Oryzias latipes: one gene and its partners. The protein of the gene in region 6 interacts with the protein of the main gene of each other region in a pairwise test. Links are inferred from orthologs where the notes say so. Each region holds a gene or a part of one and is shown on either strand. Other genes may lie near its edges.

The links.
Region 1: the proteins of cep63 (region 6) and ezh2 interact in binary tests that used the Homo sapiens proteins (3 or more experiments, as listed by UniProt). The two-hybrid records come from large-scale screens. The link is inferred for Oryzias latipes from reciprocal best matches to the Homo sapiens genes CEP63 and EZH2.
Region 2: the proteins of cep63 (region 6) and ppp4r1 interact in a two-hybrid assay, tested with the Homo sapiens proteins (2 studies listed by BioGRID and IntAct). The link is inferred for Oryzias latipes from reciprocal best matches to the Homo sapiens genes CEP63 and PPP4R1.
Region 3: the proteins of cep63 (region 6) and tbc1d15 interact in binary tests that used the Homo sapiens proteins (3 or more experiments, as listed by UniProt). The two-hybrid records come from large-scale screens. The link is inferred for Oryzias latipes from reciprocal best matches to the Homo sapiens genes CEP63 and TBC1D15.
Region 4: the proteins of cep63 (region 6) and fam161a interact in binary tests that used the Homo sapiens proteins (3 or more experiments, as listed by UniProt). The two-hybrid records come from large-scale screens. The link is inferred for Oryzias latipes from reciprocal best matches to the Homo sapiens genes CEP63 and FAM161A.
Region 5: the proteins of cep63 (region 6) and smc3 interact in a two-hybrid assay, tested with the Homo sapiens proteins (2 studies listed by BioGRID and IntAct). The link is inferred for Oryzias latipes from reciprocal best matches to the Homo sapiens genes CEP63 and SMC3.
Region 7: the proteins of cep63 (region 6) and pcnx4 interact in a two-hybrid assay, tested with the Homo sapiens proteins (2 studies listed by BioGRID and IntAct). The link is inferred for Oryzias latipes from reciprocal best matches to the Homo sapiens genes CEP63 and PCNX4.

Annotation. Positions count from the first base shown.
Region 1 is NC_019878.2:3,247,520-3,251,019, reverse strand, and holds part of ezh2 (histone-lysine N-methyltransferase EZH2), read left to right. Parts: intron 1-900; coding exon 901-1,064; intron 1,065-1,148; coding exon 1,149-1,246; intron 1,247-1,322; coding exon 1,323-1,566; intron 1,567-2,729; coding exon 2,730-2,896; intron 2,897-3,500. UniProt on the Homo sapiens protein: Polycomb group (PcG) protein. Catalytic subunit of the PRC2/EED-EZH2 complex, which methylates 'Lys-9' (H3K9me) and 'Lys-27' (H3K27me) of histone H3, leading to transcriptional repression of the affected target gene.
Region 2 is NC_019863.2:13,852,844-13,855,737, forward strand, and holds part of ppp4r1 (serine/threonine-protein phosphatase 4 regulatory subunit 1), read left to right. Parts: intron 1-66; coding exon 67-167; intron 168-1,529; coding exon 1,530-1,650; intron 1,651-1,901; coding exon 1,902-2,036; intron 2,037-2,894. UniProt on the Homo sapiens protein: Regulatory subunit of serine/threonine-protein phosphatase 4. May play a role in regulation of cell division in renal glomeruli. The PPP4C-PPP4R1 PP4 complex may play a role in dephosphorylation and regulation of HDAC3.
Region 3 is NC_019864.2:5,639,853-5,643,352, reverse strand, and holds part of tbc1d15 (TBC1 domain family member 15), read right to left. Parts: intron 2,383-3,500; coding exon 2,279-2,382; intron 2,191-2,278; coding exon 2,096-2,190; intron 1,092-2,095; coding exon 975-1,091; intron 1-974. UniProt on the Homo sapiens protein: Acts as a GTPase activating protein for RAB7A. Does not act on RAB4, RAB5 or RAB6.
Region 4 is NC_019859.2:4,112,955-4,116,925, forward strand, and holds the start of fam161a (protein FAM161A), read left to right. Parts: upstream 1-1,171; 5' UTR 1,172-1,342; coding exon 1,343-1,498; intron 1,499-1,891; exon of another isoform or gene 1,892-2,234; coding exon 2,235-2,503; intron 2,504-3,971. Other genes in the region: cct4 (T-complex protein 1 subunit delta), read left to right, coding at 62-175, 253-267. UniProt on the Homo sapiens protein: Involved in ciliogenesis.
Region 5 is NC_019859.2:36,697,916-36,701,415, forward strand, and holds part of smc3 (structural maintenance of chromosomes protein 3), read left to right. Parts: intron 1-2,124; coding exon 2,125-2,232; intron 2,233-3,500. UniProt on the Homo sapiens protein: Central component of cohesin, a complex required for chromosome cohesion during the cell cycle. The cohesin complex may form a large proteinaceous ring within which sister chromatids can be trapped.
Region 6 is NC_019862.2:2,686,827-2,690,973, forward strand, and holds the start of cep63 (centrosomal protein of 63 kDa), read right to left. Parts: upstream 2,801-4,147; 5' UTR 2,538-2,800; intron 1-2,537. Other genes in the region: uncharacterized protein LOC111947333, read left to right, coding at 3,657-3,985. UniProt on the Homo sapiens protein: Required for normal spindle assembly.
Region 7 is NC_019880.2:12,135,017-12,138,741, forward strand, and holds the end of pcnx4 (pecanex-like protein 4), read right to left. Parts: intron 3,060-3,725; coding exon 2,956-3,059; intron 2,875-2,955; coding exon 1,781-2,874; intron 1,674-1,780; coding exon 1,487-1,673; intron 1,406-1,486; coding exon 1,154-1,405; 3' UTR 501-1,153; downstream 1-500. Other genes in the region: dhrs7 (dehydrogenase/reductase SDR family member 7), read left to right, coding at 193-234.

The DNA of each region.
Region 1 (3,500 bases), on a different chromosome or scaffold from region 6:
ATGTGAAGAAATTCTTGAGTGACAAACGTTCTGCAGGTTTTTAGACCTCCTTGTTCATTTCAGACGTCCTCTAGGTAATAATGCTAGATTCATATCAATATTGGAAAATGTTTCAGTATATTGCCCAAACAGCCCCCATGAAGAAATGTGGAGCAATCTGCAGCTTTTGATTCCAGTTAATTAAAAAATGATTCCTTAGATTTTAAACAGAATAATGGTTCATTCCGCCAGTCCAGTTTTCACCAATCCACATCCAAATGCTTTAACTGCATCGATGAAAAACAAACGTCCTGTTACAGAAACCAACACATTTGAGAAAATCTGTTCTGAGCATTTTGCCAGCATCACTAGTAAAGACTACAAACTTTAGGAAAAGGAAATTTGAAGTTTAGGCCAAAAAGACTGATGTCCATCCATTTACAGCTTTATAATCTGTTCTCAGCTCAAACAATGCAGAGAAGCTTCAGGCCAGCAGGACAGAGGCTTTTAACCAGCAACACCTAAATAATGCGCTTTTTGACAAAACGTGACTGTTTGGCTGAGAAAGCGACTTTTCATTCTGGTTTGCACTGATACAGCAGCTATAGCTGTCCTCTAAAACAGAATCAGCTGATGTATGTTGATTATGTAAGCGCTTCACTACTGCTTTTTACTGGAATCACGTTAATTGCGTCAATGGTTGAACAGTTATGGTAGTCGAAAGAATGTAAACTGGAGCTAAAGGTTCGGTGTAGAAGAATGTCCCTTTACAGTCCCGTGGGCAGGTCCTTATTATTTTATGTAAATATGATGTTGGAGTCAGAGAACGTCCTGGTGCATTTGCTGTTTTATGCATGGATTTCCTGTTGATGACAGAAGCAGTGGAGCGACTTTGGCTCAGGCTGCCTGTTTGTGTTTCAGGTACAAAGAGCTGACAGAGCAGCAGCTGCCCGGCGCTCTGCCGCCCGAATGCACGCCCAACATCGACGGGCCGAACGCTCGCTCCGTGCAGCGCGAACAGAGCCTGCACTCCTTCCACACACTGTTCTGCAGACGCTGCTTCAAATACGACTGCTTCCTGCACCGTGAGTGCTCACGGAGGCCTCACAGCCTCAAACGTCTGCATGACTCGGTGTTTGAAGGTTAAGCCACGCCTTTCCCTCTTTCAGCTTTTCATGCAACTCCAAACACATATAAGCGCAAGAACCTGGAGAACCTGGTGGAGAGTAAGCCCTGCGGCATCGACTGCTACATGTATCTTGTTCAGGTGAGTTTTCAATGTTGCTGTCTGACTTTTTGAAAGGAGGAACAAGTGGGCTGAAACTTTGAACTGCGTCCCCCAGGACGGGATGTTTCGGGAGTTTCCTGCTGGTGTTGTTGCAGAGCGGGCCAAGACGCCGTCCAAACGCTCTGTGGGTCGTCGCCGCGGACGGCAGCCCAACAGCAACAGCAGCTCTCGACCCAGCACCCCCACCATTTCCTCAGAAACCAAAGACGCCGACAGCGACCGCGAGGACGGCAAGGAAGACGAGCGAGACAACGATAAGGACGATGAAGACAAGAAGGACGAGACCACCAGCAGCTCAGGTACTTCACCACAGGCTGTGGCTTTCCTGATACTTTCACTGTTCCCTTTGTGAGCTGATGAGAAATCTTACAGAGAATGTTTTCAAGAACTCCAACACTGTTCAACCTTTGTGTTTGGATGAACGTTTGACCTTCATTACTGAACGCAGCTTCTCTGTCAGCTCCAGAGTCATCCTCAATGACAGAGTCTCTGCTGCACTTGGAAAACATTTCCACAACCGAAAGAAAACCAAAAACGGACAGTCGTGACGTGAGAAAGAGCAGCAGTGTAGAGCAGGGGTCTGCCACCTGAGGCTGTGGAGTCACATGTAGCTCTTTATCCCTCCAGCGTGGCTCCATGAATAAATAATAATACGTCTGTTAGTCAACTTTGTCCTTCATGTTCAGATTTTTCAACTGGTGAACTTACATTGGTTGAACTATCCTTTTTTTTAAGTACATCAACATCAAGAGGCATTGAGAGCTTGACCTTTTCTCCAAAATGCACACGTGTCAGACATGAGCAAAATGATGATCTATGGTCAGAGTGGGTCATTACTAGAATAAGATTAAAGCTCATATTCTCATATTTTATATCTAGTTGCTGTTCAGAGGCAAAGTTCTTCAAGTAAAATTGGAACTTAATCTGCTGCAGCAGGAGGATCTTATTTGACACAGGATGTGCTTTATTTTGAAAGGAACTTGTATGTGCTCCTGTCAAAACTAACGGAACAGAAATATAACACTGTTCTAATTGGATAATTGTAAGTATTTATAAGCTACATTTTTGTAAATGCATGTCCGAAGGGACAGAGAAACATCAATTAAGTGTATTTTCTAAACAGTGAGGTGGACTTTGCAGCTTTCGTTGGGTTTTGCTCTGTCAGAAACTGGACCAAATGGGTCTTTTAGTGTGAAAGGTTTCATCCTCCTGGTGTAGAGGGAAGAGCAGTCGCCATGAAAACGCCTTTTGAAAACCAAGTCAGACCAGACTTCACACAAAAACGACAGCACTCCACTCTATAGCCGTCTACTGTCAGCTCCCTTAGAGGAAACACCCTTTACATATTCTCATCTCATATGAGCTGTAACTGCCTTTAACACAAAAATGGAATATTGATTACCCAGAATGCCTCTTCAGTGCAGTCACACGGTTGTAAGGATTGCTGTTTGGATGTGTTCAGAGGGGAACTCGCGCTGCCAGACTCCGGTGAAGATGAAGCTGACGGGTGAAGCAGAGGCGGTGGAGTGGAGCGGCGCTGAAGCGTCTCTGTTCAGGGTTCTCATCGGGACGTACTACGATAACTTCTGCGCCATCGCGCGCCTCATTGGCACCAAGACCTGCAGACAGGTGAGCTGTGATGCACAGTGAACACGGGTCAGAAAGAGATGCACTTTCTGATTACGTTATGGCTTTTTGTGTGTTTTTATACCCAAAAATGAGATGGGATTTATGGCTCTTTTTAGGGAGCCAAATCTTTAGGATCAGTTCATTTAAAAGAGCCGTTCAAAACAGTGGCTCATTTGGCTCTTTTTTAAATGTACCGTATTCCTTTTTGAAGAAGCCAGCCGGGAGTTTATTCATTTCATCCTGGGAATAATCCCAGGGAGGGTTGATGGGCTGAGATCTGGATCAGAATCATTCAAATACAGATTTCTCACCAACAATTGAGTTCAAATTATTTTTGAAAGCTCAATTATAGCTTCATTTGACATGTGTGCAAAAGATGTCTGATATGGATTCAATGTAAACATTCCACTTCTATATCCCTGTAAGTTGATGCTGAGATCACCATTTCCCCCTTGTATAAAGAGTGGACCATGAATTCATGCAACAGGTCCAGTTTCTTACTGACAAGACTGAGTTAGAGCTGCAAAATCTCACTACTCTATTTATAAAAATGCAACAGCAGTTCCTTTCAAAATAAAATACTGTGTCAGTGAACTCCTCTTGA
Region 2 (2,894 bases), on a different chromosome or scaffold from region 6:
CTAAACCAAAGGAAGTCGTTGGCATGGGTGTGCTAGATAATGTTGTTTGTCATTCTCTTGTTGCAGCTGCTGCATGCAGACAAAAGGAGAGAGTATCTGTACCAACTGCAGGAGTTCATGGTCACAGACAACAGTCGCAACTGGAGATTCAGATATGAGCTGGCAGAGTACGTTGACTTTTGTTTCCTCACACACAACAGACTTGAACATCATTTTCTATTCAGTTTATTCATAAAGCACTGCTTCATATTTCTGTGTTAAAAAACATGTCTATGAGGACTCTCATTCATCCAGGTTGATTCCATCATAGTAGTAGGTTTAGGGGCTGTCATCTGCAAACCTACTACTATGGTGTTAAGAAACAGTTTCAGTAGGGGGTGAGGGATGCAAACCAATATATTAGATATCATAATATTTTAGCCAGACTAATAACAGTGTTCCCTCGTTTATTGTCAGGGATAATTAAACCGAGATGGGTGAAATCCACAAAGTAAGAGTATAGATGTTTAAGGCTGTAAAAGCCTTTAGGCACACTTTCGATACTTTTTCAGACAGACTTTACATTTTCCCATTTTCTCTCTTGTTTAAACTCTCAAAGCTAAGACCTTCATGGAAAAATGAGCCCAGTATTATAGAATAAATACAAAGATCTGTTCTCGATCAGTGTTTTATGTAAATAGGGGAACGCTGAAAGCATCCTCTACAGGAGATGCAGCACAGAGGAAATTGATTGACGAGGTCAACAGCCAATCAAGATGTAGAACACATTGTGTTGTAAACAAAACATGCAAAATCACGCTAAAAAAAATCTGAAAACAGCGAGACCACCATGGATGAACACTGTATCTATAAAAGGGGTTTAGGATTGTACATTCCCTTTTTTTATGTTTATTTAACACCACATTATCCTGATTGACAGCAGATTCATGTGCTGTCTCTTGCTGGATTAGTAAATAATAATTATTTGTATTTCTAGCTTCTTTTTTTGGGGGGGGAATAAAGCCAAAATCTGTATATTTTAAGAGATAACCATAACATGAAAAAGAAAGTCATTCTACAACATTCTAGCATTTGGTTCTGCTCACACACTTGTGCACTGTTGAGGCAAAAACATGCGTCAATGGAGAAGTGTGAATTATTCATGACACAGTGTCTGGAGAATATTCTCTTTCTTGACCGTGGTCTCTTCAGGGTCCTAGTGCCAGTTGGATCTAGTCCGGGCTTCACATTGCTGGCAGCTTGCCCTTTCTGTTGTGTATTTTTAACGTTTGCTTCAAGCAGTGACAACAGTAACCAACACACTGAACATGTGTGCACATGAACGCAATAAGTAGCTCCTATTGCCACATATCATGGAGCATAAATGCATTTCTGCTTTGATAGGTATGAAGTCATAACACAATCCTGTCTTAAATAAAATCAGGCATAGTTCTTTTAGCCCTAGATCTGTTCAAATTACAGGTATTCTAACTGACTTTATTTTCTATCAGCTTCATAATTGTGTGTTGCTGTTTTTTTTTTTCCTACAGGCAGCTGATCTTGATAATAGAGTTGTACAACCACCGTGACGTGTACGACTACCTCAGACATATAGCGCTCACCCTTTGCTCTGACAAAGTGTCAGAAGTCCGGTGGATTTCTTACAAACTGGTAAGTTTACAAGAAATGGGGTTTGTAGAAAGACATGTCTAAATATTTAAAGAAACATGACAGTAGTATCACAATAGAGAGGAAGTTTAGATGCTACACACATGGAAGAAAAAAACCCATAACCATCATGATTCAGGTTTTAGCATCAAGGCGACATCTGGGGAAAATATTCCAATTTGTCAGCTGCTGATTCATTCATTGAAACTTCTAGAAGTGGTCTGAGTGGGTTGTGTGCTCTTACCTGTCGTCAGGTGGTGGAAATTCTGCAGAAGCTGTATGCCAGCAGGGCTGATGACCTGGGCTTGGAGTTCATCAATGAGCTGACCGTGAGGTTCTGCCACTGTCCCAAGTGGGTGGGGAGGCAGGCGTTTGCCTTCATCTGCCAGGTCTGTGTTTGCTTTTAGAATCCACATTATATTAGGGAAGAGGTATTCTCAATAATTCTTTGAACACGCTTTTGTTTATTTTGGTTTTAATCTTTCAACTGAATGTATAAAAATGCTGATACTGAGCTCCTAAACCAAAAGACAGACTGACCGGTGTGAACTTTATTACTGCTGTGTGATTCTAAGTTACAAGCAAAACTGATGGAAAAATTTTCACTTAATTTTTAATACAGCAAAGAAGACTTTGATTCCTAAATGCAAACATGCATTCAATCATTTTTATTTGAGTAAAACTTGGACAGACTAAAAAGTTCTGTGGTTTTCTCTGTTTCATTTCTGGTGAATCTGTTTGATCTCTAACAGGAACACTTTCCTCTGAATATCAGCTGTTTCTGCTGTTTTCGCATACAAAAGAAAACATTTGTCAGTGTCAATTAAAGACCAGCAAGTAGATGGTGTTCGGCTTGGTCCCGCCTATAAAATCCTCCCACAATTCTCTGGGAACGATCAACTCATTTACTTGCCCATGTCATACTTTACATATGTAGCCATGGTGAAACAACAGAACTTCATTTGTGTTTAAAAGCCCAGATGCACATTAAAGCTTGCAGATAACCTGAACCTCAAAAAGTGAGCAAAGTGCTCTGGGCTCTGAGGGGTTTTTACCCATCAACTTACAAACTGTGACTAGTCAGTGCAGCTTTCCACTTTTTTTTTTTTTTTTCCTGTTTCTGTGTCCATGGCTGTCTCCAAATCAAATGTCCTCAAAGACACAAGAGGGACAATTCAGCTCAGAAAGGGGGGTGTTTGTGTTGCTGGTTTTATCTGCAACTGAAAATAATTACAAAACTTGTTTTT
Region 3 (3,500 bases), on a different chromosome or scaffold from region 6:
GAGAAGCACCCCAGTTCAGCTGCCATGTACCCTGATGGGCATATGGGTGAAGTCCCCATGTCTCCAGGACAGAGACAGGTCTCTCACTGTGGTGTTGGCTTATGGGCCAAACCCAAGCTTCTCAGAGTCTCTAGGAAATGTACCAAAAAGTGCTTTGAAGGGGACTTCAGTGTTCTACTGAGAGACATCACCAGACACATGGGCAATGACAGCAATAGCTGGAGGGGCGTGATCAAGAAGAATGGTTTGCCTGATCTGAACCAGAGTGGTGCTTTGTTATTAGACTTCTGTGTCAGTCACAGTTAGTCCATAATGAACACTATGTTTGAGCACGACCAGGACATCTATATTGTGATGATGTTGTTCTGGTGGTTTCTGTAAAACCAGCTCTTTCAGTGTGTTCTGGGACAGTTTACCGCCAAGTTCGAAACAACTGAAGCAGGAATTAGCACTTAAAAGTTGGATGCCATGGTTCTCGATCAGAATGAGGGTGCACCCTCTTTGGGTAGGCAGACAGAGAGTTTTAGTATCTGGGATCTTGCTCACAGGTGAAGGATCGAGCTTTGGATCGATAGGTGTAGCGGCTGCAGTGAAGCTGATCCATCACTAATAAGACCAGATCTTGCGCTGGAGGGACTTTGTTGATTGGCTGGTCTGGGAGGACCATGTGGTTCTCCCAAAAAACTGGAAGAAGTTCCTGTGGGGAGGGAGGTCCTCGGATCTCTGCTTAGACTGCTGCTCCTCTGGATTACAGGTAGAAGATTCAATCGGCAGTATTCAGATTTACTTCTGGTTCACGCTGCTTTTTATTGGATCGTGGAGATTTACATGAGAAGTTCCTCCTCATGCTGAATTCCACTGTTGGTCTAAAGGTTTATAACGTGGGGGTCACTCAGTGGTCTCCTCATTCAGAACGGGAATGAATGAGGTTGAAAAACATGAGGTGGGGGCAACAGTCTTCCGCCAGCTCTCACCCAGGTCGAAGTCGTACATGCAGTAGGTCATCAGGATGTCGTGCAGCAGAGCCAGGCCAGGGTTGTCGATCCCTTCGTAGAACCGGTTGGTTCTGTCGGTCCGATTCACATCTTTCTCTGGAAACAGAGACAGATAACCATAAAGAAGCTGCAGCGCCAACAGAACAGGCACAAGACTCAGCAGTCTCCACATTCTCCATCCTCTTTAAATCAAAAAGTACTTAAAGTACTGTGATGTTGACTTAAGATCATCTGATGCTTGGGTTGGGGGCTTCAGTCTCAGAAAGACTGCCCTCTCCAAACTTTTAGACCTTTTAGGAAGTAACGGAGTTCATTTCTGAGCTTGGGTTGTTTTGGTTTTTTTGCGTCTCCCCCAGGACCAGTGTGCTCTAGAACAGCGTTTTTCAACCTTTTTCAAGCCGAGGTACACTTTTTCCTCGACAAAAATCCCGCCGCACACCAGAAACCAAAAATGTAAAAAAAAGAGAAACTCAATCGTCGGTATTGATGTTTAGTTTCTCTACGATCTCACGAAAATTTCTTGTAATGATTGAGAAACAAAAAATGTGAAGATTCAGCTGTTTTCCTTGATGTTGTGATAGTTTTCAATAATAATTTTTAACTAAATTAGTTAAAGATGTGCCCAGGTTTTTGTTTTTCCTTCAAGTTTGAAATTTTATGTAATTTTACGTAAACCTCACAAAAACCAAATAAAATGACATTCTTTCTAAAAGGTAATTAATTTTTCTAAATACTTTTTTATGTTTCTACCAGTTTTTTTTTAATGTGCAGTGTTTAGCGCTCTCGCCACACAGCAAGAAGGCTCAAGTCCCGGTTCAAGTCCCGGCTGGGGGACCTGAACCAGAACACCAATGGAGGACCTTTCTGTGTGGCGTTTGCATGTTCACCTCAGGCATGCGTGGGTTTTATCCGGCTTCCTCCTCCATAAGGAGAAGAGTTCCACAGCAAGCAGAACAAAAAGGTGAACGACAATGAAAAGATTACTGAAGAGACCAGGGGAATGCTAGCGTGAATAGAGCAGATCGACAAAAAGCAGGAGAAACATTGGAAAAGAGGTGGAGGATGAAGATTAGGACACAGACACAGAGCGTCTTCCTCACCAATCAGACTCCTGTAGTCTCTCAACCTGGAGTTTCTCCTCTCCTGCTCCTCACTCACGGACTTCCACTGCAGCTTCATCCTGAAGTACTCGTCTCTGCGGCGGACACAAACAACCACGTTTCCATGGGAACAGCATCTGCTGCAGATGCAGTCAGCTGACAGTGGTAAGGTCACCAGTATACGTTTTGTTCCTCTGCAGGAGCTTCCTCTCCTCCAGCGTGCTGCTCCATGGTGAATATCCCAGCAGACACTTCCACACCTCCTTCCTGACGGCGTGACACAGACCCTGCAGGTCACACAGAGGTCAGACTGAGTGACCCTGCAGGTCACACAGAGGTCAGACTGTGTGACCTGAGGTCAGACTGAGTGACCCTGTAGGTCACACAGAGGTCAGACTGAGTGACCCTGCAGTTCACACAGAGGTCAGACTGAGTGACTCTGCAGGTCACACAGAGGTCAAACTGAGTGACTCTGCAGGTCACACAGAGGTCAGACTGAGTGACCCTGCAGGTCACACAGAGGTCAGACTGAGTGACTCTGCAGGTCACACAGAGGTCAAACTGAGTGACTCTGCAGGTCACACAGAGGTCAGACTGAGTGACTCTGCAGGTCACACAGAGGTCAGACTGAGTGACTCTGCAGGTCACACAGAGGTCAGACTGAGTGACTCTGCAGGTCACACAGAGGTCAGACTGAGTGACTCTGCAGGTCACACAAAGGTCAAACTGAGTGACCCTGCAGGTCACACAGAGGTCAGACTGAGTGACTCTGCAGGTCACACAGAGGTCAGACTGAGTGACCCTGCAGGTCACACAAAGGTCAAACTGAGTGACCCTGCAGGTCACACAGAGGTCAGACTGAGTGACCCTGCAGGTCACACAGAGGTCAGACTGTGTGACCTGAGGTCAGACTGAGTGACCCTGTAGGTCACACAGAGGTCAGACTGAGTGACCCTGCAGGTCACACAAAGGTCAAACTGAGTGACCCTGCAGGTCACACAGAGGTCAGACTGAGTGACCCTGCAGGTCACACAGAGGTCAGACTGTGTGACCTGAGGTCAGACTGAGTGACCCTGTAGGTCACACAGAGGTCAGACTGAGTGACCCTGCAGTTCACACAGAGGTCAGACTGAGTGACTCTGCAGGTCACACAGAGGTCAAACTGAGTGACTCTGCAGGTCACACAGAGGTCAAACTGAGTGACTCTGCAGGTCACACAGAGGTCAGACTGAGTGACTCTGCAGGTCACACAGAGGTCAGACTGAGTGACTCTGCAGGTCACACAGAGGTCAGACTGAGTGATTCTGCAGGTCACACAGAGGTCAAACTGAGTGACTCTGCAGGTCACACAGAGGTCAGACTGAGTGACTCTGCAGGTCACACAGAGGTCAGACTGAGTGACCTG
Region 4 (3,971 bases), on a different chromosome or scaffold from region 6:
TTCCTTTTGCTCCGTCTGTGCGCGGTTGACAGCTTGACAGATTTATTTATTTTTTGGACAGGGGGGGATTTCAAACATCTTGGAGGAGCTGGTGGTGCAGCCCGTGCTGGTTTCCATCAGCGCGTTGACTCTGGCCACAGAAACGGTCCGTAGCATCCTCAAGATCGATGACGTGGTAAGACTCAGAACTGGATTCCCTTTTTCATTTTACAGAAGTATGATTGGAAATTAATTTTTGTGTTCTGGTTCCAGGTGAACACTCGATAGGTCTGTCCGGTTTCTGAAGCCCGTTTGTTCTGCGAGGGATCAGAGCATCACGTCGACAGCAGTCTGCTCCGATTTCTGCTGTAGTTATTGCATTGCCTAATTTAATAAAAGGCTGTGGGGTTTTTTTTGTTGACACTGCTGCCTCTTTTTGTCTTTCTTTCTTTGTCTTTGTCTTTATGTTGCACTAAAGTGTAGTACACAGATTTAGAAACATGTTCTGGTCTTCATTTTTTTTAAATTGTATGTCTTGAAAACCGCTAATTTGAAAAAAGTATGTGAAATATTAACGCAGAGTTAACACGTATTTACCAAATAATTTCTGCAGCATGAAAAGATGCATAAAATCTGGTTTCTAGTACTTATCAGACTAATGGTAACATTATAAAACATGACCTAAATGTAAAATGTTGATTTGCTGTTATAAAATAAGGTTTTCTCTTGATTAAAGAGTAATGACAGATCTTTATTTGTCATTGTCACGCATACAATAGAATTTAAAGTGATTCCTGGTCAGTCTAACACTCATACCTTAAAAAAAATTAGACTCCAGGCGCCGGTGCCTCTGACCTCATGCTCATCCAAGACGTGGACGGTGCTGCTTTTCTATAGAATTGGTTAAAAATGTAAAATCTTTAGATAGAATTTTTGTGTGTCTTCAAAAATTGGGTGATGATCATGGCCTGGTTCAAAAAAAAAGTCCTGCTTCTATGCAAAATAAATTCAATGCATAAGTAATTTTATTATTTGAATTAAGATACTTTTTTTTATTTAAGTAGCCGTTTTCATTCAATTAATCAAATAAGAAAAAAATATATACATTTTAATGGTCAGAACCTGTGTTTACTCGATTCATTTTAAGCGTTCAGTTTAAAAATGTACACGTTTCCAACGCTTTTATTTTGTATCAGAGCTTTGTTCTTTGCTTCCGTTTTACGTCACTTCCTTCCTAACGATGCTTCTCCGTTGCTAAGAAGCCAGCCAACCTGACAACGACTGTTCCCTCCGGGGAACGAACTAAGTAACAGAACCTCATCAAGGCGCTTTTTTAAAAAAAAAAAACTGTTTCAACAAAAAGATGGCGAATCCTCACCGGACGAACGTTTTATTAACTTCCTGTCTGAAGGCGCCGGTGGACCCGCACACCAAGGCGCCGCTTGCGTCATACGAGCGCGGGGCAGTCCTAACGCACGCGACTGCAGGCCAGCTGGACAACCGGGACTATGAGAAAGAGGTAAACACATGTTTAAAAATATTTCACAATAAAAGTCACACTTTCAAAATAATAATCTTTCTAAAAATAGTTAAGACAACTCTGTATTTATTGAGATATATAGAAACTTTGTATACACTTTAGATTGGAGGTTGTTATACTATATTTTATTTATTTATTTATTTATTACAATGTGAAGGTGGGTGAAGCTGTTGTTTTCCTGTAGTCTGAGTGCAGCTCCCTCTGACCTGAGACAGGTTATGTCCAGTTAACAGGATGTTGACAGTTTCAGGTCAGCCAGGTGGAAGGGATTTGATCTGTCATTTGTTGTCCCGTCTATTTTTGGATTTCTGTCTTCACTAGATTACCAGAAGTCTTGTTGGGTCGGTAATCTCTTTTATATCCTTTTAACAGCAATGACCTTCTGTGGAAAAAACACCTCGTAGCAAGTTGGTCTAATTTTCAGAAACGCTTCTGACAAACATCCTTTTTAATGGAGGCCGGACACTTTAGGAGGAGTAGATGTCAGCGGAGCTCCTTCATGCTGAGCTCACCTTTGTGTTCCAACCATATGGCTCTGATCATTGTGACTGCAGGATAATGAGCTTAGTCCTGAAGACCTTACTGCCCCTCAACAGGGCAGCAGTGTTCTTTAGGGCATAGAAGTGAAAACAAACTTTTAATAAATTCATGTAGGAAGCCTTCAAATACCTGTTAATTAACATGATGATCCTTGAGTGACCTTTGGGCATTTCAGCTGGAGTTTTGGGACTCGGGCTCGGATTTCTGTGATGAGGACTGTCTGGGGATGGGAGGAGCTCACGTGGGGGGCAGCTTCAGGGCAGCCGTCGACCGCCTGGACCTGAGTGAAATCTTCTTCTCCAATGAGGAATACTACAGCAAGCTGGAGGAGCTGAAGAGGGCCCACGAACGCACCATGGCAGAGCTGGAAAGCATGTACCAGCAGAAGCTGCAGCTCAGGTCCGGTGAAGCTTTTGATATGAAGGCCCTGGATATCGGTCACAGGTCAGTTGGGCCGGATTAAAGGAATTTCTTTGACAGTTTAACACTAATTTTGCAAACCGAGACTATTGTTGTTGTTTTTTTATTTTATATATTAACCATATTTTCACTGAGATTAAGGGACTTTGATTATGAGATATTCATTCCTGCAGAAATAAAATAAAATAATTAGCTCAGCTGCCTACAATTGAACATGTTTTAGGGTTGCTTTTAAGAATAAAAAACAAATTACCTGGAAAGCTTAAAGATTTCCTCTTTAAATTTTTTATTGTTCGCATGTCCATTTCTTTTTTAGATTATACTGTCATGCATGGAAGAAAGCTTCGGCCTATCTTATGCATGTTTTGCAGGATTCAACCATTGACTGTAAATGAGAACTGAACTGAGTGACCCCTCCCTCCTGGCGTCCCAAACAGGCCAAAATCGCATAGACTTCTATAGAGAAATAAACAGAAGTTCTTCAGTCATTCTATTTTTCAGAATAACTATTCTTGCTCTGAAACCTTTTTTTTTAAAGACCCACTTCTATGAAAACTGTGATTTTCATAGAAAATCACAGTTTTGTGGTGTTTTTAACATGTTCTTATGGCATTTTTCTGAAGATGGAGGACAACTTTGAAGAGAATTAAGGTTATAATTGCATTTCTGAGTATTTCTTTATTCAAATTGCTGTGAATCAGGAGCAGATGAGACAAAAAACAGTTTGAAAAAGAGGATATTTGTGATGTAGAAAATACGCTGGGTGGGCCAAAAGCTCCCTGCTCCATTCTGAGCTGGAATCTGGATCTAGACTGTACGGTTGAAGAGCTTCACCATCATCCACAGTAATGTTAGGTTGGGGGTGTAAGGGCCTGAAAGGTAGCGAGAGAGAGTGTAAACAGAGAACTCTCTGCTGTGGGTGACAGACGTCATCTTTAGCTTAACCCCTAACCCAAAACTCAGAGGTGAATTTCTAATGAACTCCTGCCACTCTGCAGAAACTTTTAGCCAAAAAAAAATTATTTTGGCTAAAAACAGCATAATCATAATTGAAAGACCACTGGGAATGCTCTAAAAATCAAAAGATTATCATAATTCTCAATAATCTTAGTTCTTTCATGATATTTTTTCTGTTGTAAAGGTTATTCAAGCTATAAGCTGACCCATCAGATGCCTCAATAAAATTCAGCGGCCAAAGTTTTGTAAACTTGATTGACAGGTGGTAGAAATGTGGACTTCCAACAGTACCGATTGGTGAGAGTTGTCGCCATAGAAATGCAGGGGTCCAATTTGGACATATCACTGCTGACTCCAACACGGTGGTGTCTGTATCGCAAAAAACAGACGACTGAATTGATTACATTTTGTTGGAGCCATAAGTAAACCATTTTCCATGGGTGACGTCACATTCACTCAGTCCAGTTCTCATATACAGTCAATGGTTTTAAGTAATTGGCTTTGGGCGGGGTTTAGTCTGTGCTCGAGGTGGGTC
Region 5 (3,500 bases), on a different chromosome or scaffold from region 6:
CTCCGTAAAGAGCCGCAGTGACCACCTTTGTTGCTCTGTGAAGAGCCGCAGTGACCACCTTTGTTGCTCCGTAAAGAGCCGCAGTGACCACGTTTGTTGCTCCGTAAAGAGCCGCAGGGACCACCTTTGTTGCTCCGCAAAGAGCCGCAGGGACCACCTTTGTTGCTCCGCAAAGAGCCGCAGGGACCACCTTTGTTGCTCCGTAAAGAGCCGCAGGGACCACCTTTGTTGCTCCGTAAAGAGCCGCAGTGACCACCTTTGTTGCTCCGTAAAGAGCCGCAGTGACCACCTTTGTTGCTCCGTAAAGAGCCGCAGGGACCACCTTTGTTGCTCCGTAAAGAGCCGCAGTGACCACGTTTGTTGCTCCGTAAAGAGCCGCAGGGACCACCTTTGTTGCTCCGTAAAGAGCCGCAGTGACCACGTTTGTTGCTCCGTAAAGAGCCGCAGTGACCATCTTTGTTGCTCCGTAAAGAGCCGCAGGGACCACCTTTGTTGCTCCGTAAAGAGCCGCAGTGACCATCTTTGTTGCTCCGTAAAGAGCCGCAGGGACCACCTTTGTTGCTCCGTAAAGAGCCGCAGGGACCACCTTTGTTGCTCCGTAAAGAGCCGCAGTGACCACGTTTGTTGCTCCGTAAAGAGCCGCAGGGACCACCTTTGTTGCTCCGTAAAGAGCCGCAGTGACCACCTTTGTTGCTCCGTAAAGAGCCGCAGTGACCACCTTTGTTGCTCCGTGAAGAGCCGCAGTGACCACGTTTGTTGCTCCGTAAATAGCCGCAGTGACCACCTTTGTTGCTCCGTAAAGAGCCGCAGTGACCACCTTTGTTGCTCCGTGAAGAGCCGCAGTGACCACGTTTGTTGCTCCGTAAAGAGCCGCAGGGACCACCTTTGTTGCTCCGTAAAGAGCCGCAGGGACCACCTTTGTTGCTCCGTAAAGAGCCGCAGTGACCACCTTTGTTGCTCCGCAAAGAGCCGCAGGGACCACGTTTGTTGCTCCGTAAAGAGCCGCAGGGACCACCTTTGTTGCTCCGTAAAGAGCCGCAGTGACCACCTTTGTTGCTCCGTAAAGAGCCGCAGTGACCACCTTTGTTGCTCCGTAAAGAGCCGCAGTGACCACCTTTGTTGCTCCGTAAAGAGCCGCAGTGACCACCTTTGTTGCTCCGTAAAGAGCCGCAGGGACCACCTTTGTTGCTCCGTAAAGAGCCGCAGTGACCACGTTTGTTGCTCCGTAAAGAGCCGCAGGGACCACCTTTGTTGCTCCGTAAAGAGCCGCAGTGACCACCTTTGTTGCTCCGTAAAGAGCCGCAGTGACCACCTTTGTTGCTCCGTGAAGAGCCGCAGTGACCACGTTTGTTGCTCCGTAAATAGCCGCAGTGACCACCTTTGTTGCTCCGTAGTCATTTTTTCCCTGCAGTGCCTTTGGGTTTTGTGAGTTTTTTACTGATCTTCCTCACATGTTCAGTCTTGTCTTTGAGCGATGTGTTTTATGTTTTTCGTTACCTGCTCTCTACAGGTTGAAACTTGATGACGGCAGTTCCAGACAAAATCAGTGCAACCCAGTTACTTGATAACATCCTCCTTCAGCCCCCTCATCCTTCTCATTACTGCTAATGAATATTGGCTTTTAGTACAGAAGTGATGAATATATTTGTGTTCAGCTATGAGAGGGCCAGCTTTTGTTTGTTCTTAGAGCGTCCTGCACCTGTGAGGAGGGACAGATTTAGAAATGTATTGTTATCCATCAATGCCGACCGTGGTTTCAGAGAAAACGTCTGTTATAAAGTTCCCATTGTTGGTTCTGGTTCTGCTGCTCCTGCTAGTGTATTCAGATGATGGAGGAGAGCTGCAGCTGTGTGTGGGACGCTCCTGGAATCTGGCATTGCCCCAACTCATTGCTGCTCGCTCCACTCTCCTCCTACTGTTGTTGCACAACAGCCCCCACCCCCATAACACTGCCCCCCACTTGTAAATTCTGTTTCTCTGATTATTGGTGACATAATTCATACTTTGGGTGAGAATAGATGTGACAGAGCAGTGTTATGTCATCCTCACATTAGAGTCAGTGTCTGGAAGTTTCTGCTTTGTGCAAACATCAGAGGGTCAAATACTGTTGGTTTGTTTTCACAGGACAACAGACAACTTCTGAATGAGAGAATCAAGTTGGAGGGGATCATGACCCGGGTGGAGACCTATCTGAATGAGAACTTACGGAAGAGACTGGATCAAGTGGAGCAGGTACATTTTGAGAGTTTTATACCGTATTCTTTGGACCAAAAGGGACACGTAAACTTTAAACCTAATACATTTTTCCTAAAATCAGCGCTGCGTCTTGTGTACGGTACAGTTTGTGTGAATTCTGGTTGTGCTGACTGACCTCAAACTGATTGTGCTACAAAAATCTTGAATAATGTTTGGGAACTACAAAGCAGGATTGCTTAATGGATCTGGGGCATTACTGCCGCTGGAATCAAGAGCCTGGTGGAGTGATGCCTCCTAATATTCTGTATCAGGACCTGAAGAATTTAGTGTATTGTTTTGTCTTTTGTGGGACAACTGAACAATGCTGAGAGTTTTCTTTCTACATTCATTCAGTATCTCACCATGAGGACACGCCCCTCCCCATGCGTTTTCCTCTGAAGCTTTTTCCCCGGCCCGACTGGCAGACAGAAGGTGACGTCTACTCTAGAATAGAAGTTGGTCGTCACCTTTTCCTCCTCAGTCCAACACGCTTGCTCCGAGAAGCGGAGAGCTTTTGTTGTAACAGCGTAGCTTAACTGTTCAGAGGGCAAACTGATCACTGGATCATCGAGGCCACATTACCTTCTCTGAGTTGAGTAGCTGGTTTGTCTCCAAGCAAACCATACGGTCCAGGATGCGATAGCTTCTCCGGTCCCTTGTGAACACTGTGCATGGCTCTCCCTCAAACCCCACAAAACAATGATTAGGGTAACCAATCCCCCCCTCCGCCTGAGTTAACCGACTGCGTCCGCAGATATTTGCCTCCCATGGGCTTCAGTTTAGGGCGACCAGCTAGAGGCTGCCGTACCGCTGAGCAACCGTGAGGAGCCTGACGAGGCCACACCCCTGGAGTGGTGAGACACTGCTTGGCGCCAAAACTGACTCTGGAGATCAGCCTCGGATCCGAGGAGGACTGCAGACGTAGTGGATTTACAAACCTGACTTATGCGGTGGACCTGCACGATGCCTGCAGAAAAGCAGATGTAAAGCTGGGTGTCAAGTGGCTCAAAGCCCCCACGAGACCTCCATGTCTCGCTACGATGGAAACGCCTCCAGAAAGCCTGATCTTCTGGTGTTTCCTCGAGAGCCTGCAGGAGGCGACCCACTTTCCACCTAGAACCTCACCCCCCCGGGCGTTCAAGAGGATGGTTTTGACCACATCCCTCCACTGGAACCTCTGCTGGTGTCTCACCTTCACCCGACACAGAGGCCCACCACAACCTCCTCGAGCCCCGCCTTGCCTTCCAAAGCAGATGGGTTTCAGT
Region 6 (4,147 bases):
ACAAAATGATGACTACACCCTTACTTTGACGTGTTCTCCCTACCATGACAAAGGTGGAAAGATTTCATGTAATCCATGGACACCACTGAAGATCACAAATCATTCAAGAAAAAAGGTTCAGAGCACTCTCTAGTGGGTCTAGATGACCCAACTCCCAGGATAGCAAAAGGGTTAAAACTAATCTGGTCTGTTGATCTGCTAAGAGAGTTTCGGGATGCGCCTTCACTGTAGATCAGCAGGGTTTGCAGAGCTTGGTGTCGATGGATGCTGCGTGACCAAAGATTATCCATAAGTTGATTCTGCAGTACAGACATCTAGTCTGGTCAAAGAGAAATACACAAGAAATCCTTTTTTATTATAAAGATTTGGTTTTAAGTTTCTATGAGGCTTAAAAAGATGATTTTACTTGGATATGATAAGAACAAAATACTTAAATTCAACTTTTACTGAATTCAAATAAGAGTATGGTAAACATTGTTAAAATTAATTTCTGCAAAAAATAAGTCACATGATAAAATTAACATTTAACACTAATGTAGTCTGATTAATAAAACAATTTAAAAATAGTTTATAGTTATTATATAACAATTTTTTTACATTCTCAAAAGAGGGTAGGTACTTGTACACAGTTATATTTAGTATAAAAACTTATGAGAAGTAAATAAACAAAAAAAAGTATTTTTATTAACCATTTTGGGGTACTCTACAAACCCACAAAGTTACTACAGTTATTATATATTTTACAACCTGTAAGGAAGTTATAAAATATGTCCGTTAAACTAGCTAAAGCTATTGTGTAATTCTTGAGAACTTCATCTTGTAGAATTTTGTTTTATTTTTTGAGAGATTGAATACATACGGAGCCTGTTACCGCCCTAACCCCTAACTTTTAAAAAAAACTATACAGTGCAGCATTATATAATGCCTTGAATTTTAAAAGCTATTCAGACACCGTGCTATCCTAGGCACTTTAACATTGGGAGTTGGGTCATCTAGACCCACTAGACCAGTTCTTCTCAAATAGTGGGGCTAGGCGGCGCGAAGCGATGTCAGGGGGGGGCGCGCGGTGATGGTGGTTTATGCACAGGTAATACGGGCAATCGTCCGGTGCGCAAATTTAACATGGGGGCGGTGGTGACAGCGGCTCAGTGCTTGGAAAAATATCTGGTCCACTATTCGGTTCCTGTTGTCTGTTATATCACAGAGTTTGTAACAGCCTGAAACCTTTGAATTCCCGTCCCTGCAGCTGCTCCTATCTCGTGTCACACGGGGCTGCATGAGTGAGAACGAAAGGGGAGGGGTGGGGTGTGACTTTGTGATGATTATTTATAAGTCCACTGTCTTCTGAAGATAAACACAAAACATTTTAAAAACATTTAAATACATTTTTCTGCAAAAATTACAGACGCAATGCATTGTTGTCTATATTTCCCGATCTAATGAGCGTCGAGGCACACCGGTTTTTCGCAGAGACATCTGGGAAATTTCTGCGGGGCACTCAATTTGGGAATTGTAGGTTCAGACAGCACTTCAAAATGGTAAGATGCACTATATAACGGTTAGGGTGGGATTTCGGACATAGGCTCTGTCAAAAACCAGTGTGCTCACTACGTAAATCGGTACCATAGACCACAATGCATTGCGTCAAAGCAATTTTTACCCCAAATAAAGTATATTTTAAACAAACCATCAAAGTTTTTATCTTCAGAACACAGTGGATTCATAAATACGATGGAGTTTTCAGTTTACAAAAAAAAAAAATTAAAATTACGATTTTTAATTCGTAAATTTCAGAGAAAGAAAGTCATAACTGTTAAATTACGAGATTTTAAGACGTTATGAGATTTTATCTCGTTAATTTATGAGTTTTATCTCATAAATTCACAACTTAAAATCTCGTAAATTTTTGAGTTTTTTTCTCGTAAATCTACAAGAAAAAGTCATAGTAAAAAACAAGTAAAAACACATAAGTTTTCTGTTTATCGGAGCCTAGCTTGAAGACGAAATATGTGGAGACTTTTGTGAAGCTTTATTTCCAGATAAGTTTCAAAAACAAACAAATTTTGAGCCTTTTGACGACTTAAAATCACATTTTTGTTAGTGTAGCCAGCCTTCCAGGGTTCGGTGTCGGTAAAGCGGAGTTAACTAAGGAGCTCAGAGACTCGTTTGGGTGTAGAGGACCGCTACTTTATTTTCCTTTTCAATCACAAACCCAGAAGTCCATTTGTCACCTTACGTCATGAACCTGTCATGCGCAGAACACCAATGTTTAAACGAAATGTCCCGTTTCAACATAAAACAACAAAGATGAATGAAAATAGTCTGTTAAATTAGCATAAGCATGTTGAAAATGCCAAAAAAGTGCACACAGACCTCTAAACATCCTCCGTGTCTTCAATGCATTGTAATGAAATATACACAGACAGAAATGTGAAAGTATCTGCTGTAAATCCAAGAATGACTTATCAGATGAATTATTATTTCGTGGGAACATTTTTTTTTTTTACCCATGTCAGGTCACGGGCTCCGTACAGTACCTGTTGTGTCTCAGCCGGACTATAAGGACTCCATGCCTGGATCACTACTCCTCTCTGAGTCAGTCACGCGACACGTTACTTACTACGCGACAGGACATTCGCCGACGCGGCTGGAATGATCTACGGCTAAGACTCGTCCAAATTCACAGCCGTTAACATCCAGACAACCCGCGCGACGAATGACCCGGCCAACGTCGACCGTGAAGGCCGCGGCCACTGAAAGACGCAGCCCCCGAATTCGGACACACCCTCCATTTTCATCTCAATACAGATTATATTTACATATTTTGACTAAGTGTAAGCGTGGCTCGTTGGTCTAGGGGTATGATTCTCGCTTTGGGTGCGAGAGGTCCCGGGTTCAAATCCCGGACGAGCCCAAAGGTTTTTATTGTCCACTGCCCAAAGCTTTTTATTTTCCACTAAGAAAAACATTTTTATCCAAGTGGTTGGAGTGGATATTTTTTATTTTATTTATTTATTTATTTTTTTAACTTTTTACCATTTCTAAGTTAGTCATCTCCTTCGACCAGCCCTCCACCGGCCTAACAGCAAACACAGGAACAAAGACGGAGGCTTGGCTCAGCTTCCCCAGCTGTTGTTGGGCGAGTCCTGGGCGGTGACAGACGTCTCTGTTCCGCCCCCAGCCGCGGCGGACTCTCAACAGGCGGCAGACGCGACAGTTCATTTACAGTTCTTGACTGCAGGCAGACTGAGCCACTTGGAAAAACCTGATCTGAACGAGAACTAGAAGCATTTCACTCAAGTAAGTATAACATTTGATTTATTTGAACATGACTCCTCTTCTTCTGTCAGTGGTAAACTTCTTTTTATACTGTAACTTTTTACTATTAAAAGGACATGTTATTATCCAAGAAAATAATGAGTTTTCTTATCTTGATGTGAAATGGTTGCATTCACAAGAATTAAAATATCAAAAATTCCTCTAATTCATTTTTTCTCCTTAGAGTAGAAATAAATACAGCTGTCATTCCTGGGTAAAGTTTGACCAAAGGACAATCTTTTCATGTTTCTTCCCAGCCGGGCCCGTGGGACCGTCTGGGACCTTCTGCAGCTCCTCTGTGGCTCTCAGCAGGAACATCGCCGTCGTCCATCTGGACCATGGTTCTGTGTGAGGACAGCGACTGCACCGTCTGCTTCTTCCCTTACTCCCGCATGGACAGGATCCCCCGGGTGCTTCACTGCAGACATACCTTCTGTGAACTGTGTCTGGAGGCCATGCAGCAGGTCAGGAGCAGCTACCTGGCGCTGGCCTGCCCGCTGTGCCGCAGGGTCACCTGCATTGACCGAGGCCTCAGCCTGCAGGAAGCTCTGTGGGTGGACAGCAGGCAGTGGGAGCAGATCGCAGAGGCAGGAGAGGAGGACGACACACTCAAACTGGAAGGAGAGGAGCTGGAGACCAAGCAGCGCCTCTCATTACAGATGGAATGGTGAGTTCTGCAGGGGAACAGCACGTCCAACACACAGGTCAGCTTTTTAGTGATGCTGTGCCTCCGCTCTGCTGACAGTGGATGACATCATCAAAGATAAATACTGGCGCTTTTCTTCCAAAACACCATATAGAAAAATTGATTTCCTCTTTCTAGTATTGT
Region 7 (3,725 bases), on a different chromosome or scaffold from region 6:
CTAGTTTAACATTGAGGGGTTAACATGAGTGAAAGGTTTGGGTTGTGAAGAAAATCAAACACTATTTCTTACAGATAAACCTTAGTAAACATCACAAAATTGTAACTCATTTATAAATTTTTCAACCTTGCAAAAAATATATATTAGGCATTTTCCCCAAGTTGAGCCGTTAATCACATTTTTCTGTTGCAGGATGCAGACTCTGCATACTTCAGGAAACCAAAGACCTCCTGAAAAACCTCATTTTTCAAGACCAAAGGTGTTTATTACATTCCTACGGTAGATGTTTTCTAAAAATAAAATTACTACTGCTTTAAGAGCACAGTGCCCATCTTTCATTTTAAATAAAAAAATAAATTAAATAAAAAGTACTATTGTACACGGATCATAACACAAACTTAAGACAAATGATCAAAACTTATTTTTAGAAAATTACATCTTACCCAAAATAAAACACTTATTTATGGATCAAAGTTTGGTTGAACAAATCAGACCAGGTGTGCATTTGCCACGCTTTTTTTTTTATTACAAGTTGAACCAGTTACACATAAAAAACTATTATATACAATAAACTTAACTATTCCTCCTTAACTGTAAACAATTGAACTGTAAACCAAACAATAGCAATAAACGGCATACACATACAAAAATACATACTCAAGGCACACCCTTGATATTCTTAACAAAACATTAAAAGTCCCTTTTGTATGGACATGGGAGATATACAAGGGGAAAAGAAAACACAAAAGTGTAGCAGGTTCATCTCAAAGGATATGGCTAAACGTTCATTATTTTTATTAAAGCACAACCATTAACAAACTACGTAATATTTTAACTTTAGTGATGACCTAAATAACATGTTTAAACAACGAAATGTTTTTTTTTGTTTAAATAAACTTTGAAACTTTTGTAACTTCTTTGAAATGGAGACTGTTTTCTTTTTGCTACAGCTAGATCAATGAAGCACCCAGAATCACATTTGTTAGTAGAATGTAGAAAATGAACTTCCAAAGTTAAAAGTCTGCAGGTTTAAAAAAAAAAAAGGATTTGTATTGAAATGCAAAAGTTTACTCCGAAAAAAAAGAATAGAAATGTTAGTTGGTAATACCGATTATAAAGACCGAGTGTAAAAAGAGGTTGGAGTGGAAATGGGTCAGAGGCAGGGGAAGTGAAGGGGCGCGGAGGAGTAAATGGGGTAGCCCAGAGGAGGGTCGGCTGCCTGAACGGTTAAGTTTCGAAGCATGAAAGGGTGAGCCTGGATGCTGTAGCGCTCTTCGTCATCATTAGTAGCGTACAAGAGTTCCCAGGAGAGGTTCGCCCACTGGCCTCGTACCCCCTCGCCATTCAGGTGGCCTACCTGCACCAACTGCTCCTGCAGGGTCAGGACTCGGCCTGTGTAGGTACCCTGTAGACAAAAGATGTTCAAGAGGGTCATCTTTAGGTAAACAGGCTTAGAATCTAATATAGGCTGAAACTTTCACATCACCATGGCAAGATCATGTCCCAAGGAAAATAAGAAGGGCTTCTCCTGAAGGACGCCATCATGCCAGCCTTTTTCTGTCACCAGACCGATGTACCAGTCTCTTTCATAATCTTCTAAAGTGCTGAACAACTCCTCGTGGGACTCCATTGCCCCAAGGCTAGCCTGATCAAACAAGAGCTTGAAACTTAGCCTGAGGGAAAATTAAAAAAAGCAGAAAAGTCTCACATGTATCTTACTGAATAACATAAAATCAGTGGAAAATCATCAGCTTTAAGAGATTCTGAACAGCAGTGTCACCTGAAGGCTTTTAGTGTGAGCTGGTAGAGTTCTTTACTTGATGACAGCCAGTCGAGTCCTTCTGTCCATGGCACATCCCCACAATACACCCTGTATATGTAACTAGGACTGTTGAAGGCTGTCTCAGCACCAAGTGAGATAAGGCATGACAGTGCAACCTTAACATGCAGTTCTTTCAAAACCTCGTCTTCCTTTAGTGCTTTGTTCATGTCCTCCGAGGTTTGACCCTGCACGGCAACCCCAAACCGCCCCAATGTGAACCGGAACCATTCCTCTGGAAATAAAGGCCGCAGCGACAGCAAGCAGGAGGGTAGTAACGGTGCTGTCCTCCACCCCGGCGGTAGGTTGAATATTTCTGAGTAGGGACAGCTGAAGTTCAGATGGGGGTTCTCTCTGAAGAGCTCTGGGTTTAATCCTTTATCTACGGCTGGCATCCCGATGCCCAGTCCCAGAGGCTGCAGGGGCTGAAGAGCAGAGAGCGCCATGTTTTCAAAAAGACTATCCATTTCTACAGAACCTGGCAGCGAACCTCCTGTCTCTAGCGTTGTGTGTCCAGGTTGAGCCTCTGCAGTCACTAATGCCACAGTCCGTCTGGCTGGTTGGGGTCCAAACAGGTCGTCCTCGTCTGACCAGTCACCAAAAGAAGTCGTACTGGAGCTGTCTTGTCTGAATTTAACGGAGGATATATTTGATTCTACCATAACAGCTTCAGGTGGCTGGTTACACGTGGTCTGGGGAAACTGTGAGGACTGGGACTTCATTCCCCAAATCCCTGACCCCTCCTGGCTGCTCCATAGAAACCCCTTGTGCTTCTGTACACCATATCGAAGGAGCAGCCAGATCAGAACTTTCATGAAGTCATCCTGAAGTTTCCTCAAGTTTTCATGCGAGTCAATGATGCCAGAAAGTACATTTCGAGCATCAGAGTACACTCGCACTTCGAGCGTGGCGCAGGGAGTAAGAGCGTTTCCCCAGTGCGAGTTAAACCCGTGGCTAAAGCCAATACGCTCAGGATGTTCAAAGGCGGCCTCAAACACTTCATCAACTCTCCGAGCTTCCACTGTGTGGCAAGAGGTCTCCTGTAGCTCAAGACCCTGTAAGGAAATCACCAAACAAAGTGACGCTGCTGTAAAATTCCTGCAACAAGGTACATATCCCAAAGATTAACTGCTTACCTTAATATTGACTGTGCAGTAGCCATATCCTTTCTCTAGAATCATTATCCAAACCATACGATCCTGGAAGCGGCCAAGAAAATGAGAGCCTGGGGTTAAGGAACCTACAGAGAGAGAAAGGCATCTGTCAACTATGTATCTCATATTTAATGAGGTAAAATAAACAAACCGCAGTATGGAGTACACACCCAGAGACACTCAAAGAATCTAGAAACACACCACTTTCATTTTGTGTCACCTGTTTGCTGACTTTAAGAATGTCATGAGCTGCGTCTATTGCAACATTGGTACTGCCCTAGACAGCCAGCTGCACAAAGATTTAAATATTAAAACTCCTGTTTTTTTTTCCTTTGGTCAAGTCAAGGACAGACTCATGCTGTGTACACAACGTGAGCTTTTAATTTTTGAAGACGAAAGTCAGGCTAATTTGATGCAGATGCACAATAGCAGCAAAATGAAGCAGGCTATTCTTATGCATTGACTCGTGGTGCGTGGTTTAAGGATAATCTCACATCCCAGAAAGACATCTCGGAATAGTTCCAGCTGTTACCTTGTGATGTGAAGTGACAGATTAAGCAGATTCCTTTACTGCTCACTGCCCTGTGGCCCCCAGTGTGAGCAAAGCAAAAGAATAGGACAAACTGCCATCTCTCAACCAACAACCCAAATGAATAATACGTCTGAGCAACAGCTTCCAAAGCTCATACAAAAACAATAGGTTGGTAATTATGTGATCTATTCATGTAAAGCCTCCTTATCAACATCAACAC